2 linked regions of the Caenorhabditis elegans genome follow. The protein of the gene in region 1 interacts with the protein of each later gene in a pairwise test. Each region holds a gene or a part of one and is shown in the gene's direction. Other genes may lie near its edges.

Region 1 (6,331 bases):
ACAATGTAGTCACACTTACTCACGTCGCAACGAGGAGGACCGATCGCGAATTGTTCTCTGTTCACTCGAATTAGTTATACGAGTTTCATCTCTTCCTTTCAATTCACTCTCCTCTTTCAATTGGGTTCATTGCTGAGTGTTTTGTGATTTTTCGATGAACACGCGTACCGCACGTGAAGTGTTGATCATGCGGAGAAATGTCAACTGTACGTTTCTTAAAAGATACTCTATTTTCACTAATGTGCACTGATCAGAAGCAGGAAAGTAGTAGAATCGACGTAGCAAGTCAAGGTGTATTCGGGGATCAACGAAACAACTGGACCAATATATGCTCTTTGATCACGTTGGGATCGAAATTGAAAGAGAATGAATTTTACATCCACCCTCATTTAATCTGTTGAGGGTGTGGATTAGTGTAAATTCCAAGCAATCAGATGACTGCCAAATAGGGGATAAGTTGGCTTAAAAATTAAGAAAAGCTTAGAAAACCACTTTCAAATAGATTAATATATTAACTTAATTGGTATAAAAATGCAATTTCTTTGCGCTCTAAAGTTTGGCGAAAAAACAAATCTTTGATTCATAGCCTTTAATAAATAAGTTTTCAGATTGCATTGAAACAATTAGAATCACATGGTTTAGACACAATTCAAAAATCCAGTCAAGATTGATTCATCCGCACTATAAAATAAAATATTTATAATCATTCACGAGCTTTGCCATAAAATATCTGTATCTAGAGTAGCAGTACTGAAATTGCAAATGGTGGCAAAACTAAGAGTATCCATATGTGTATTTGATTAACTTGTGGTACAATGCATAATTAGCAATGGTTTTGCTTGATTGTAGCGGTTAAATGCCGGTTTCACGAAACCTAAATGTGGTTAATCCAAGGTATATTCAAATATTAAACTTTTGTATTTTTTATTCCGTGTTTACCCGATTACATTCATTTTAGATTTGATTCATTCTCTCGATTCAAGAAAAAAAAACAAAGAAAAACAAGGATTTCTAAAAGAAAACCCAGCTCTATTTGAAATCTTTTTCCCAAATTCCTGGTAATGTACAGCACGGCGGTTTTATCTTTCCAGAGCTACTCCCTCGAAGAAATCTGAGTTGATCCAGAGAGATTAGTGGTTAACGTTTAGATAACACACTTGATCGAACAAGCCGCCACCACGCTGTTTTTCGGATTATTGATATATAGTTGTGATTTTCAACAGATTAGCAAAGGATTTTGTAAAGCTTATCGTCAGCGTGCTTTTTTCTTTTAATTTTTTGCACGAGCAAGACACCCACCCTCGCTTTGTGCAAATGACCCTAGTTCATTTGAACTATAATATTATTGAAATTTCCAATCAAAGTCCATATCACTAAATTCTGTAGATACTGTACAACATCCGAATTGTGAAATCTGATCGTTCTTGGCGCGAAATCATATTCACCCCCTACGTTAGCCCAAAGTACGATCACATTTCTATCGCAGTCGTCTAAAATCAAAATCAATTCAGGGTTCATTAAGTGAGCGTCGCATGACCTACGTGATAGAGCAATTAAACTGAAAAACCCAAACGTTCGATGTCTAAAAATATCATTCCAGAGAAATGAAATACATTTTCAGTAGACCTATGTGCTAGAAAATGTGGAAAAAATTATCATACCACCACCATGACTATTGACAGTGAAAAAAGAGATTTTAAAACTGCAAAAAAGTTTTAAAAATTTAGTTATTAAAGAATTGAATCTGACATTACTCCAAGTCTTACAGAGTTATGTAGCGTTATGTAGGGCGAAAATTTGAAATGATCTGTTGTTATAATTGTAGTGAAACATATATTTTGATGTTCTTCTTTCTTAGTATGATAATCTGCGATTTTTTGTAGGAACGAATTTATTTTTGGTTGAAAGTCAACGACTACAAGGAATTCGAATATATGTTGGCCGTTAATACATTTTTATTTTAGAGGAAGTTTGCCTTTTGACTCAAATTTTTTTCTGTAAAACAACAACACATGTTTAATTTGTTTACAACGTTTAGCTACAGTCCCCTAGGCCACACACTGCTGAAAGAAAAAAAAACAAAAGTAACTAACAAGTTTGGGGTCATAGTACACCAAGTTGTTTGTTTGCAAAGTTTTTTGCCTGAGTCTGTTCACTCCTAGAGGTGTACGGTACTGTTGACACCACCATACATCATTCGGAAGTAATTTGACCTACATTTTGAGCTCACTCAATGTTATCAGAGGTCTTTGTGCGTTGCACACATCACGATGCACGCACACTAAGTCAAGGCAGCCAAGGAAACAAAGTTTCGGGTATTTTTTGTCGTCAAGAAATGAACACGGCACGTGAAGGCGCATGTGAATGAGAGGATGCGTTGCACCCGACCGTCACCATCGAAATTAAAATTGAGCTACGCATTCTTTGAGTGTTTGCACTTTTTGACATCCCCGTGTTGCCATATTTGTGCTTCTCCCAATCAAATTGCTTCTTTGCTGACATCCTCAGAATTTCTTCCAAAACATTTGTTCCTTGTACCCTCTCAAGGAATGCTTCATCTTGATCCTTCCCACAAACGCATGCTACCCTTACGAGATCCCCGCAAGATTCACATGATTTCAGTGATCGGTTGACAAAATGGGGGAAGGCTATAACCTTCTGCTCCAAAACATGGGCGGAGCTACAGAGCTTATATCAAAGAGCGCCACTTCTCCGGGCACCCTAGCACCCACAGTGGCTGAGGTGCAAAGAACACACGCTGACCGCGTGTTGGAGGCGGCGCGTCGACTCCTCCCTTTCTGTCAGACAGAACGCCCCTTTTCCTATATCTTCCTTCTCGCATTGCAGATCATACCACAGTTAACGACACCCTCGAAGATGGTCGCATGGCTCTTTTACATATTTTTTGTTTAATTGTGTATTTGTTTTTGTTTGTGATAATTTTCACTTACAGTATTCTTATATAACCTTCTCTTAAAATTGATATTTCATTGCTATATATATTAAATTTACAGTCAACATCTCTACCATGTCCGCAATCGTTGAAGACATGTACTTGCTTTCTTCATCCATGAAAATGGAAAAACAATTCCGCAAACGCCATCACTCGGATTCTTCCGATGTAAGTTAAACTTCTGTTGTACCCTTATTTTACTAATTGTTCTTTTTCCAGGACGATTCTTCAAGCCCGAAGTCGGCTTCTCCATCCATGGATGATGACCGTCGTGCACATCACAACGAACTTGAACGCAGAAGACGTGACCATATCAAAGATCACTTCACCATTCTTAAGGATGCCATTCCACTGCTTGATGGGGAGAAATCGTCGCGAGCCCTGATCCTGAAACGAGCAGTTGAGTTCATCCATGTCATGCAAACTAAGCTCAGTAGTCAAGGAAAAGCCATTGAAGATCTCACAAGGAAAAACGAGCTTCTTGAGGAAAGGCGTAAGTTACATGGATATCTAGTGGATTCATGAGCTCAATTTCTAATTTTCAGTGCTCGAACGCGAGTCTTCCGGTTCTCCATCTTCCTCTCGGCTTCCAGCTCTTGCTGTTAGCTCAAGCCAAATGCAGCTCACCATGCCAATTATCCCACAGATGCAAAACATTGCACAGCTGTCTCAATACCCACAACAAGCAAAGTAAGTAAACAAATAAATTGTTCCGAATCTGATTTTAACAATTAAGTATTTTCAGTATAATTGCTCAATCCACAAACCCAGCTCAATTAGATGGGCTTATTGCTCTTAACAATGATGCCATCTTGGCTTTACTCGGAAGCTTTCAAAGCGTGAGCCCATCGCTTTTGGATTCTGCACCTGGTACTCCACCTTCTGGCTTTTATCCTTGTGCATTTTCTCCGGTTGATCAACAAATGGCAGTGAAAATCTAAAAACCTTCAAAAAGGCTTTTTTATTTCTTAGATACCCCCACCCTTCGAATTCTCTAATATTTTTTGATCTCATTTACTCGGTCGTCATGAACCCTTCTTCGGACATTCCAAACATCCATTCGGTTTCTCCGGACATACATGGGTTTCACGTGTACTTTAAGAATTGCCTGCTTGATCTGACAATATATTATTTCAGTTTTTTTTACTCACTGATTTGTTCCAGTTATGATATCTTATTTATTGATAATGCCGATAATAAATACTGATAATAAATATTTATATCAACATTTTTTCAACACCAGTAAAACACATTGCAAAAAATTAAAATTTATAAAGGCACCCAATAGAAAGTCTTTCAGCTACCGTAGTTCTTTGCTGCAAAGTAAACAGGTTGTTACTTTTCTTGTCAACTTTATTTAATGGTCAATATACGCGTCAGTAGTCGTATACTTTAAGGATTTTTACAGAAAAAATATTTATGTCTATTCCTCTGGACTTTTGCATGGGGAAAAGATTTGGATTTTAGTAGTGGTCATTTTTATAGAATTGAAATGATGAAAACAATGCTTTTTACCACTTACAAATTAGAGTAACTATTTTCCATTATACATAACAGAGATCTGCGACAAATTTGCCGAAATTGCCCAGCAAGAGAAATTTCCAAAAAGTGGGTTTGCCAAATCTGCCGAGATCGGTAAACTTTGAAATTTGCCACACACATCACAAATTCGACTAACATAATTTGACCGGAACCATTGATTTTGCTCCAAAACTTCTAGTTAAGTAACATGTAAGCAAGACTTGTACGCAGATAGACCACACGGATCTTGTGAAAAAATCAAAAGTATGCTTAGAATTCACCATTTTTGGTGCCCCATACAATATCAAAAATTATCACATTTTTTCGAGCTTTTCCGGCAAATTTGCCGAATTTGCCGAGTTTGGCATATACTAGAAAAAAGAGCTCGGCAAATTTTCATTTTTGCCGCACACCCCTGGTAGATCTAAAAAAATCTGAATACACATAGCACTACATTGAAAGCCAAAAATCTTTGGAATAGGTTTGCTGTTTTGAAATAGGTCGTTTATTGCACTTTGCTCCTGCAATTCTAAACAAGCATGCTCTAAAACATGATATCAACTCAAAAAGTACACGGTACAGTGCTCTAACGTTTTGTTGTAGTCAAATCATATTTCATCACGTATCCAAAAAAAACCGCTCTATTCCACTTTTCTTTCTTTATAATGTGTGTTCTCTGAGGCCATTTCGTAAAACAATATGCGAGGCATATCATCACACGTGTCATCAAATGACTTGATGATATGATTGGTTCAAAATATCAAATGCGAGAATCGCATCGTAAGCCAACGGAAAAATAGTTGTTTCAATTCAAAACACACTTGAGAGAACGAGGACAGTTCACTGAACAACTCAACATTGAACCTTCAAGGAGGAATATCGAAGATCGCTGGGAGTTTGTCAATGAAATATGACGAATATGTTGTGATACAGATTTATCAAGTTTTGCAGTTGTTCTTATTTTCAAGAAAAAAAGCCTTCTGAGAAATTATATAAAATTTACGTTTTATGAGGACCGAATTGTTCGGGGAGAATCAAAAACTTTAGCATCTTTCCCAGGGTGCGCGGCAATAAGACATTTTTGGCAGATGGACATTTTGTCAATTCCTAAAATTAACAGGGTTTGCTAAGAATTGACAATTGTTAAAAAAAAAAACGTCAAAAGTTGTTAACTGCATAAGTTTCACAGTTACTTCTACAATAAATGATTCAGTTACGCTTTTTATAATTCAAACAAAATTTATTTAATAACTGAAATTATCCGAACAAATACAATACATGCGAAACAAATACCACAAAATTTCCCTTCTTCGCCGAAGAGAACAAAGTTTTGGCACAATTTGGAAAAGATTAAGGTCTAGAAACCGTAGAATGTCGATAAAAAAGTGACAGGAATGGTTGAAAATGAGATGTGGTGACATTTAGCTTACAGATATTTTTTGGAATAAAAGTTTACAATGAAACACTAAGGAAGAAATTAATTAAGATTGAGGGGAACAAAACCAATGGGTACCCGTGAACATGTCGGGGAGCATGTTGAGCATGACTTGCACGAAGAATGCGATGACAATACCCAACAGACAAAACACGTTGTTGGTGAAAGCCACTGATTCGAAGATGTTTATATGGCAGAACATAGTCGGCACGAAGACCGCAATAGAGCATATGACACTCTGCAAAAATTACAATTTTTAGGACTTGAAAAATTATGAAGAGATTGGTGAACTTGTTGCTACTTTTCTGTTTTTTTACGTGTTAACAGTTTTCAATAAGTTCCATCAAATTTGTGTTTCAGTGATGTAACATTCACAGTGAAACATCACACTTTGGCTAACCAAGTCACTAAGTTCAGCAGAC
Region 2 (7,952 bases), 540 kb from region 1:
AATGGATGGAAAAGCCAGAAAAAAAAGTGAGATGGCAAAAACGCACAATTTCTTGCGTTTTATTGTTCGTAGAACCGAGAAAAAAGTAGATAGACAGAAAAATAACCACTCTCGCCTCTCCTTCCTCCTACGTACTGTTAGTTTCTTATCCCTCAATTTCATTCAGTATCTCAAATCTACAGTACCCCCATGTCTTTTTTATTTTATCATAGTGCAACATTAAATCCATAGATTTGTGTGAGATGATTCATGTGAATCTTAAACCTGGATTAGATTTCAACAATTTTTAAAGATATTTCATCAATCCTTGGCTAACAAAGAAGACAGTTTGAACTTGTTATTTTTCTATTTCGTAAATTTACTAATTTTTCTAATATACAGAAAAAAAAAGATGGAAAAATTACAAGGTAAAAAGATAATTTACTATTATACTTTTACAAATTTACATTTATTTTTTAAAGTTGGAGTACGGTCAGTGGTGGAAATATTTAAAACCATGGCTGTGATGCTACAACGATCAAATATCACAAAAAAATTCAATTAACTTTTTTTAAATAAGAAATAAAAAAAAATTAGGGAAAGTTTTCATTTCTTGTCAAAAATGTAAGTTGGCGCCACTTTTTCAAAAAATCTAAAAGTGTCGCATGTTTGAACACCTACACTGTTTGAATATAAACATTTCAAACTTAATTAGATAAAAAAACGGGTAGAACTTTTTTTTGATGAATGACTTATTGACTTGCTATAAAAAAATTTTCCAAATTATTTTGAAACATTTTATTGTGATATTTGATCACTGACTTGTTTTTGATAATTTCCCCACTTGCTCCACCTTTTAAACTCCACATTTTAAATCTTTAAATTAGAAAAGTTTTTAGATCTAGAATCGCAATTATGTTTTCAAATTTATTCCAATAAATTTGTTTCATTGGAACCTTTTGTTTCAAAACCCTCCATTCCTGTCAAAATTATATTACTTACAAACAACAAAAGTGGTAACTATAAGACTATTATCGCTTCTATAGTACTGTCAATGTACTGAAAAATATCGAATTATAGCTATTTTCAATTTGCTCGCAATACTTGAACATTTAGTCATAGGCATCAACTTATTTCAAAATAACATTTATTTCAAAATAACTTAAAACTTAGTACATTACCTTAAACTGAAGTAAAATCCGGATTTGAGATCGAAAGTTCAAGTCACGCCCACTTCCTAATATAAGTATTTCAGGTTTTCATTTTTATAATGATAAATTTCTACCATTTTAGAAGCATGCAGTTTAGATCACTGCATTAAAAGAGCTAACATCAGAGTTATTCATTTTTCGATTAGCTTGTTCAATTACGGATTGAATGTTTCTTATCCGGGGATTGCACACAGAATTATTCTCGTCACTTTCTTTCTCACGAACTTTTATTCTGAGCTTTTCCTCTGTCTGCACACATACCCACATTGCCTAGACGATCATCTTGATCTAACTCCAACTTTCATTTCCAAGATTCTCCCCCACTTTTCTGAATTCGATTTCCCATCCATTTCCTTGAGATGAAACGAAACCGGTTCTCAAAATTTTCTTGTCATTTTCTGTGCGTTTTTGTCTATTCTTCTTCATCACGGAAACTATCCACTCTTGTTTGTATGATGTTGTTTTTTTTCGGTTCAAGGTTCTTACTATCTAATTGTAAGGATGATTCACTTTATCTCCACCGTCTCTAAAAGAGTTTCCGCGTTCGACCTTTTTCCCGGATTTTCCACCCAATTTGCATGCGAACCCTCCAGTGGGTGTGGTCTCGGAACCCAATTTCATTAAATGTTAGATCAACCCGAAAGACAACAAATTACGAAAAAAAAAGTGTCATGTAAAAATTGCCGTCGGGATCGTAGTCTCATTCGCCAACCGCTGAATGAACTGATGTTTTTGCCCGACAAAACATACAATTAGCCTTGATGACGGCAAAGTATTAGGTTAACCCAAAAAAAAAAGAAAACGAAGAATCAACAAATGTTGTCATCAGTGTACGCGTACGGGTCGAGTCAGGATCTAGATGGCGAATTCAGGTGATGGGAGGGGGTGTGGGTGACGACGTAAGCAGTTACGTAGTTTTTGTTCTAGTATTGTAAATACGCGTCGTTGGCAAAGGTAAATGATCCTTGACTATCAATTTTAGTCGCAACCGATTTTCTACAAAATCCTTCGGTAATTCTCAAAATAGCGAAAGCATCCCTAATCTGTGCGAAATTTACGCCATACATTATTTTTAGAACATCATGGAAAGATTTTTAGAGGATTAGAAAATATGGTATAAAGCTTACCTGAAATCAGCGACGACTTATTTCAGTGCCACCGTGATTTTTTTGTTGTAAAATTTATAGAACACTGAATATCGTTTTGATATCTCGGAACTGGAGTCTGACGCAGAAATTTTTACCAGCACCTTGCTTACCTACATTGTTATCTGAACGTGTCTAAAGTGTAAAAATTAAGGAATAAGAGAATATCTAGTGATATTTTCATTATTAAATAGAATTTTAAAACAATTATAAAATTTGGGTTCTTATGTATTTTAAGTAACCTAATATATATTTTCATCAAATCACAGCCTAAATAAAATTTTCCTATTGCTAACTGTTTATGTAGATGTCGAGTTTTAGCACATAACCACGGAAATTTCAAACGAAAAATATTAACAATTTCTGAACTAACATGTCCTCAAAATTTGGTAGGATTTATTCTTGATCAAAACTTTTTGTGGAAATATTGAAATATCACGTTTTTCAAATTTTGAACGTTGAATATCAATTATAATTCTAGGAAGTGCATCATCTTTTGTTATTTTGACATCACATTATGAAGCCATTGATTATGTTTTCAAATTTTTTTTTCGAAATCCTAATGGCATTTATCCCCTTATCAAATCACTCATCATTGGGTTGAGATTAGATCAATTCAAGTCACTTCCAGATCATCCGCCCACAATTTAGAAAATCATAAAACTCTCCGAAAATGTTGTTCTGTTCCATTACATTTCACTTCTTAGCATTTTCCTCTAGTTCTTGAGTCACTTAATCTTCAAGGCTTCATTTTTAAAGCTTTATTTTTTCTTTTTTTTTCTTCAAATTTTTTTCATCAGAATAATTATTCAAATCTTTTCAAACCTTTCGTTCTCTAGACATTCGCTTCGGCGGGAAACCTCACATTGTTCATTGAGCAGCCTGATTTCAGGTCCTGTTTAGGAGGACTGACCCACAATCTGTGATATGTGCAACTACTAGCAGGCAGTGCTCGGCAGCTTCCCATGCAGTACACGCGTCAGGTATTTTTTCCATGAGTCTTTTTGAAAATCAAGGTGAGTTTGAAAGTATTTTCTTTTTCTGCGTTTTGGAATGCTCTTTGCATCTGGAGTAGGGTGGAGTACATATTTTGGCTCCATAAAAATATTTAAATTTCAGTTGAACTATCTTGCATATTTTTTCAAATTGAAAAATATATATTATACAGGAAGTTTGCAAATCGTTCCTGAAATCATCTCGATGGAAAATCAAGAAGGCGGATCTCCGAAACAGGTACAGTATCATTGTTTTCTTCTAGTACGTTCTGCCAAACGAACCAACTAAAAACACAACTAGGTTGACCTGAAAAATTGTATCTGTATGGATTTTAGTTTCAAATTACCGTGTTTTATTTTTTTTGCGCAACTTTCTAGTATTACCTTTGACTTCTAATAATGTTAGTACTTCTAATTCTAGTGTTTTGAAAACCTCTATTTATATATGTCTCCAGCTTCTCGACGAGTCTACTATTATTCTAGTGACCGGAATAATTAGCAGGTTAACATTATTCATTCAGAAATATTACTAAAAAGTTCAAAAATTCGGAAGCTATACTAAAACATTTTTGAAAGGCTAATGGTCAAAAATCCTTATTATTTTCTAGTACTCCTCGATTGTGTTTTAAATCCTGTTATTTCAAGGTTTGAACCATTTGTTTGAGCTAAATTTGTTTGCAAAAATTTTATTCATGCTCCCCCCTAATTGAGTTTTTAACAATTTATTTTGATTAAAAAAAGGAATTATTTACCAAAAATTTATTTCAATTAACTTCCTTAAAGTTTTACTCCATAAAATTGAAGAAAATTTCGTAATTTTATAAATGAAACATTTCAACTCCTCAAGAATGGGTTTCGGTATTTGGGTATTTAATGCCTTTATTTTAAAATGTATCTTTGTATGTTTTGAAAAATAGAAACTTGTAGAATATTTTTATAGTTTGGGTTCAGGAAATAATCATTTCGAAGTCTAGCAGGAGAAAATCCATACCACGTTTATTTACAAAATGAAATTAATGAAATTGAGAACATTTAATAAGTACATATGTTTCATCACTTATATGTATAAAAATATTTGGTACTTATTGGTTTTGTTCCCCTAACTAACAAATATTTCTTATTTATTTACTTTAGGACATTGATCAGAAAAGAAAAAGAAACGTAATTTAAAACTGATCAGAAAGCTGATTAAAATCATTGGATAATCTTTTCTAACCAGACGAATGTATACTTTTTGACGTAAGATAGCGTTTTTATCTATCCGATTCTGCAGATTGCGGCCATTCCGTCATTGCTCACTCAACAATCGCTGCCATCAGCGGCAGCGACCGCGTTTCGAAGTCACACGTCAGAAAGCCAAGATGATCTGTCTCCCACAAACTCGTCACGTAAGTTCCAGAATATTTTTGTATTCTTTTGCCGTTCACGTGTAGTGCATCCTCCCAACTGCAACCTAAAATTATTCCCACCCGAATGATGATTGGCCATCTGCTTTGCTCTGTCAATAACGTTTATAACAAAAATTTTCGCTTTTTTCTTCATCTTTTTGTGTGGTTTACTTTGAATGGAATACCCTTCTCATAGTTTATGTAGTACAACTTTCTGTGTTCCATTTGGTTTTTGTTCCCTTTTTGAGCTCTCCTGCAACTCTCCGAAAAACGTATAAATTCTCGGTCTCGCATCCGGACTTTCGCTTGGATAGGTGTGCAATGGGCGCCTCTTTTTTGTCAGTGTAGTTTTTTTTTGTTGTACATAGTAGGGAATGTTTTTTGTTGCTTCTTTTTGATTTCATTCCCGCCATATTTTGCATTGAACATCACAACTCATAAGTGTTCCAGAAGCGCCAACACCAGCTGGCCCAATCGGCGCGTTCCGCTTCTCCGCATTTTTTAACCCTGATATTTTACGTAATCTAAATATTCAGAAGTCTTCTCCACCAAGTGAGACTAATTCAGTTTTTCGCATTTTCTCCTTACCAATTGATTTTCAGACCAACCTTCAGACGACGTTCCACCTCCACAGACATCGCAACCATCATCGGATACCACAGCTGAACCTTTACCTTCACCTGCAGCTACTCGTATTCACCATCCGATACCCGTACAATATAACACAGATCTAATAGCCGCAGCGACATCTGTTAACTCTAACGTTATTCTGGTAGACTGGTTGGGACATCGGGTTTTGGCACGAGTGCCTCCTGGTGTATATCAGCCGGGGTTTGTGAAAACTGCATATGGTAACCGCGATATAATTGTGCAGGTTAGTGGATTTTGAGCACATAAAGAATAAAATAAAGTATTTTCAGTTGGATGATGGTAGAGAAGCTAGATATGACTATGTAACAAGCGAGTTTAACTTGACAATGGTGATTGCCGATCAGGCTCCTAGTCTTTCCGACGTAAGTTTTAATTTTTTGGCGTATAAAGATAACCTCATTTTACTAACAAATAACACTAAAGAAATTTCAAAAATGAAATTTCAAGATACCTTTCCCCATCAGTTAAAATATATTCAAGAACATTTATTACTCTTCATATTTCAGTTAACAACACTTGTCTCAAACACAATTCTGGCAGTACGATTACCACTGGAGAAGTCAGAAACAATTTACAGAACGGCTGAACTTCAATCAAGCAACGGGAATCCGCCGAAATTTATGGTACTAGACTAGATTTCTTGCAAAAACTATGAACTTGCAAGTACATTAATTAATGCCAATTTTTTGCAGGTGAAAGTGACCAACGCAAATTACTCAAGTCTAGTGTCTCGGGCAAATTTGAGATTGCTCCGGCCGCCCTGGTATGAGGATTTAATAAATCCACAACGGGTTTCTAACAGGTAGGGTAAACTTTAAAGAAATATTTTTTGAGTTTATGTTTTCACTTTTTGAAGCTATCAGATAAAAATAGTTTTTGTTTTTGACTCTAATATTGATTAGTCGGACTTGATTTTTCAAATGATAACTGAAATGCAAATTACTCAGTTTTTAGAAAGCATTTCATTTTAAAGTTTTTAAGCAGCAGTATTCAATAAAATTTTCCAGTGTACCAACATCTTCAATGTCCTTACCTAGCACAAGCGAAGACGGCCGACAAAACACAAATTCGCAAGACAACGTTACTTTATTGATGGCTCTGCAACAACAGCAGCGGCGTTCACAGCAATTACAACATGTCATTAATATCACTCCCATGTAAGTTACTTGCAATTTTTGAAAATGTCAGATTTCTCATATACGCCGGTTTCATTATAACATTGTGTCATTTTATTCGAGTACACAATTATTGAGTGAACACAGCGACATATACCAACAAACTTAAATAGTATAAGTTTATCCTTTAAGTGCAGAAGATTGGCGTGGGAAAATTATGGGTTTGAAGGAAATAATAAATTTGTTCGTTTGTTTGTTGAGAATAATATTCAAACTGATTTCAGACCGACACCCATTTCAACAGGTCAGATTGTTACTCACGCATCACCGGCTGGTACGGTGATCGTGCCAGTGTTACCGTTACAACCTGGCACCTCAAATCAGGAATCGAGCTCAAAAACTGTTTCAATAGATTCTGACGAAGAGCTTCCAGAGTCGTCAAATCAGGTATTTTGGTCATAATTATTTGATAGGATAATTTTTCCCGATTTGTGACTATTAGGTATAGATTTGAAACTTGTATATCAATTATTAGTAATAACAATTTCAAAATTATTTCATTACTTTCCAATGGTGTATTTCAATTTTTGAAATTTTCATTTCCTTTTTCGTGAGGCTTTGTACCACTTAATGTTTTTTTTCTGATGGGTCTGATAGACTTTCTAAACTTTTTCCTCAAAATTTCTCACAACGGGAAATGTGCAATTAAAATATTTTCGAATTATGTTTATTATAGTTTCACTATAAATCGCATTTGTTCATAAAAAAAATAGTTACTGATCATTCAAGAAAATGACGTGCACTTTATACTTCTCCAAGAAAATTTAATCCTACCCTATTAAAAGACACGTTTACCTTACTAACGTTCTTTGATGAATCACGTCATCGTTTTTATATTATTGAGTGTGGGGTTTTTGAGAAATAAGATTTTTTCTCGTTAACAATTGATAAGTCAAATCCTTTTCTTCCCAGCTCCCATCTATTCATCAATCACTAGTAATCTTGATTCCACAAAAACTGCTAATAGTGTTAGTGTAATAACAACGACGCCTAGTCTCCTCCATTTACTCTTTATCCACTCGAAAAATAAAAAATAAGGCAATGAGTATTAGGTATTTCTATTGTCTGAAGCTTATTACGGTAATCCTTCTCGTAACTCCACCTCCTGAATCATCATTTTTTTTCCAGGACCAGTCGGGTGAACCATCACCAACCACCGTATCATCTGCTGCTTCACGGTCACTGTTTGTGAATCCATCGCAAGATTCCGGAATATTCGAGGCCGACGTAGATACGCCGCAGTCAAGTATGTTTCACAGTATCAACGCTCCAGTTTGTGCTACGAAAGCCATGTTAGATCAGGTAAGATTTATATGTTGTTATCATCAATGTTTTTTTTATTATTCAGCAACGTTTCAAAAAAGGTGAAATCGTGACGACGCAGTGCGGTATTCGAAAAAAGTTCAAT

Evidence for each region.
Region 2: the proteins of mxl-3 (region 1) and gei-3 interact in a two-hybrid assay, tested with the Caenorhabditis elegans proteins (one large-scale study listed by BioGRID).

The regions. Positions count from the first base shown.
Region 1 is NC_003284.9:13,347,488-13,353,818, reverse strand, and holds mxl-3 (Protein mxl-3), read left to right. Parts: upstream 1-3,014; 5' UTR 3,015-3,028; coding exon 3,029-3,121; intron 3,122-3,172; coding exon 3,173-3,446; intron 3,447-3,498; coding exon 3,499-3,643; intron 3,644-3,698; coding exon 3,699-3,894; 3' UTR 3,895-4,180; downstream 4,181-6,331. Other genes in the region: ptr-24 (SSD domain-containing protein), read right to left, coding at 5,956-6,147. UniProt on the Caenorhabditis elegans protein: Transcription factor which regulates the expression of genes involved in lipid metabolism in response to nutrient availability. Binds to the E-box motif 5'-CACGTG-3'.
Region 2 is NC_003284.9:12,809,223-12,817,174, reverse strand, and holds the start of gei-3 (HMG box domain-containing protein), read left to right. Parts: upstream 1-3,535; coding exon 3,536-3,568; intron 3,569-4,603; coding exon 4,604-4,718; intron 4,719-5,168; coding exon 5,169-5,270; intron 5,271-5,320; coding exon 5,321-5,592; intron 5,593-5,638; coding exon 5,639-5,731; intron 5,732-5,875; coding exon 5,876-5,992; intron 5,993-6,061; coding exon 6,062-6,171; intron 6,172-6,376; coding exon 6,377-6,526; intron 6,527-6,768; coding exon 6,769-6,931; intron 6,932-7,672; coding exon 7,673-7,846; intron 7,847-7,892; coding exon 7,893-7,952.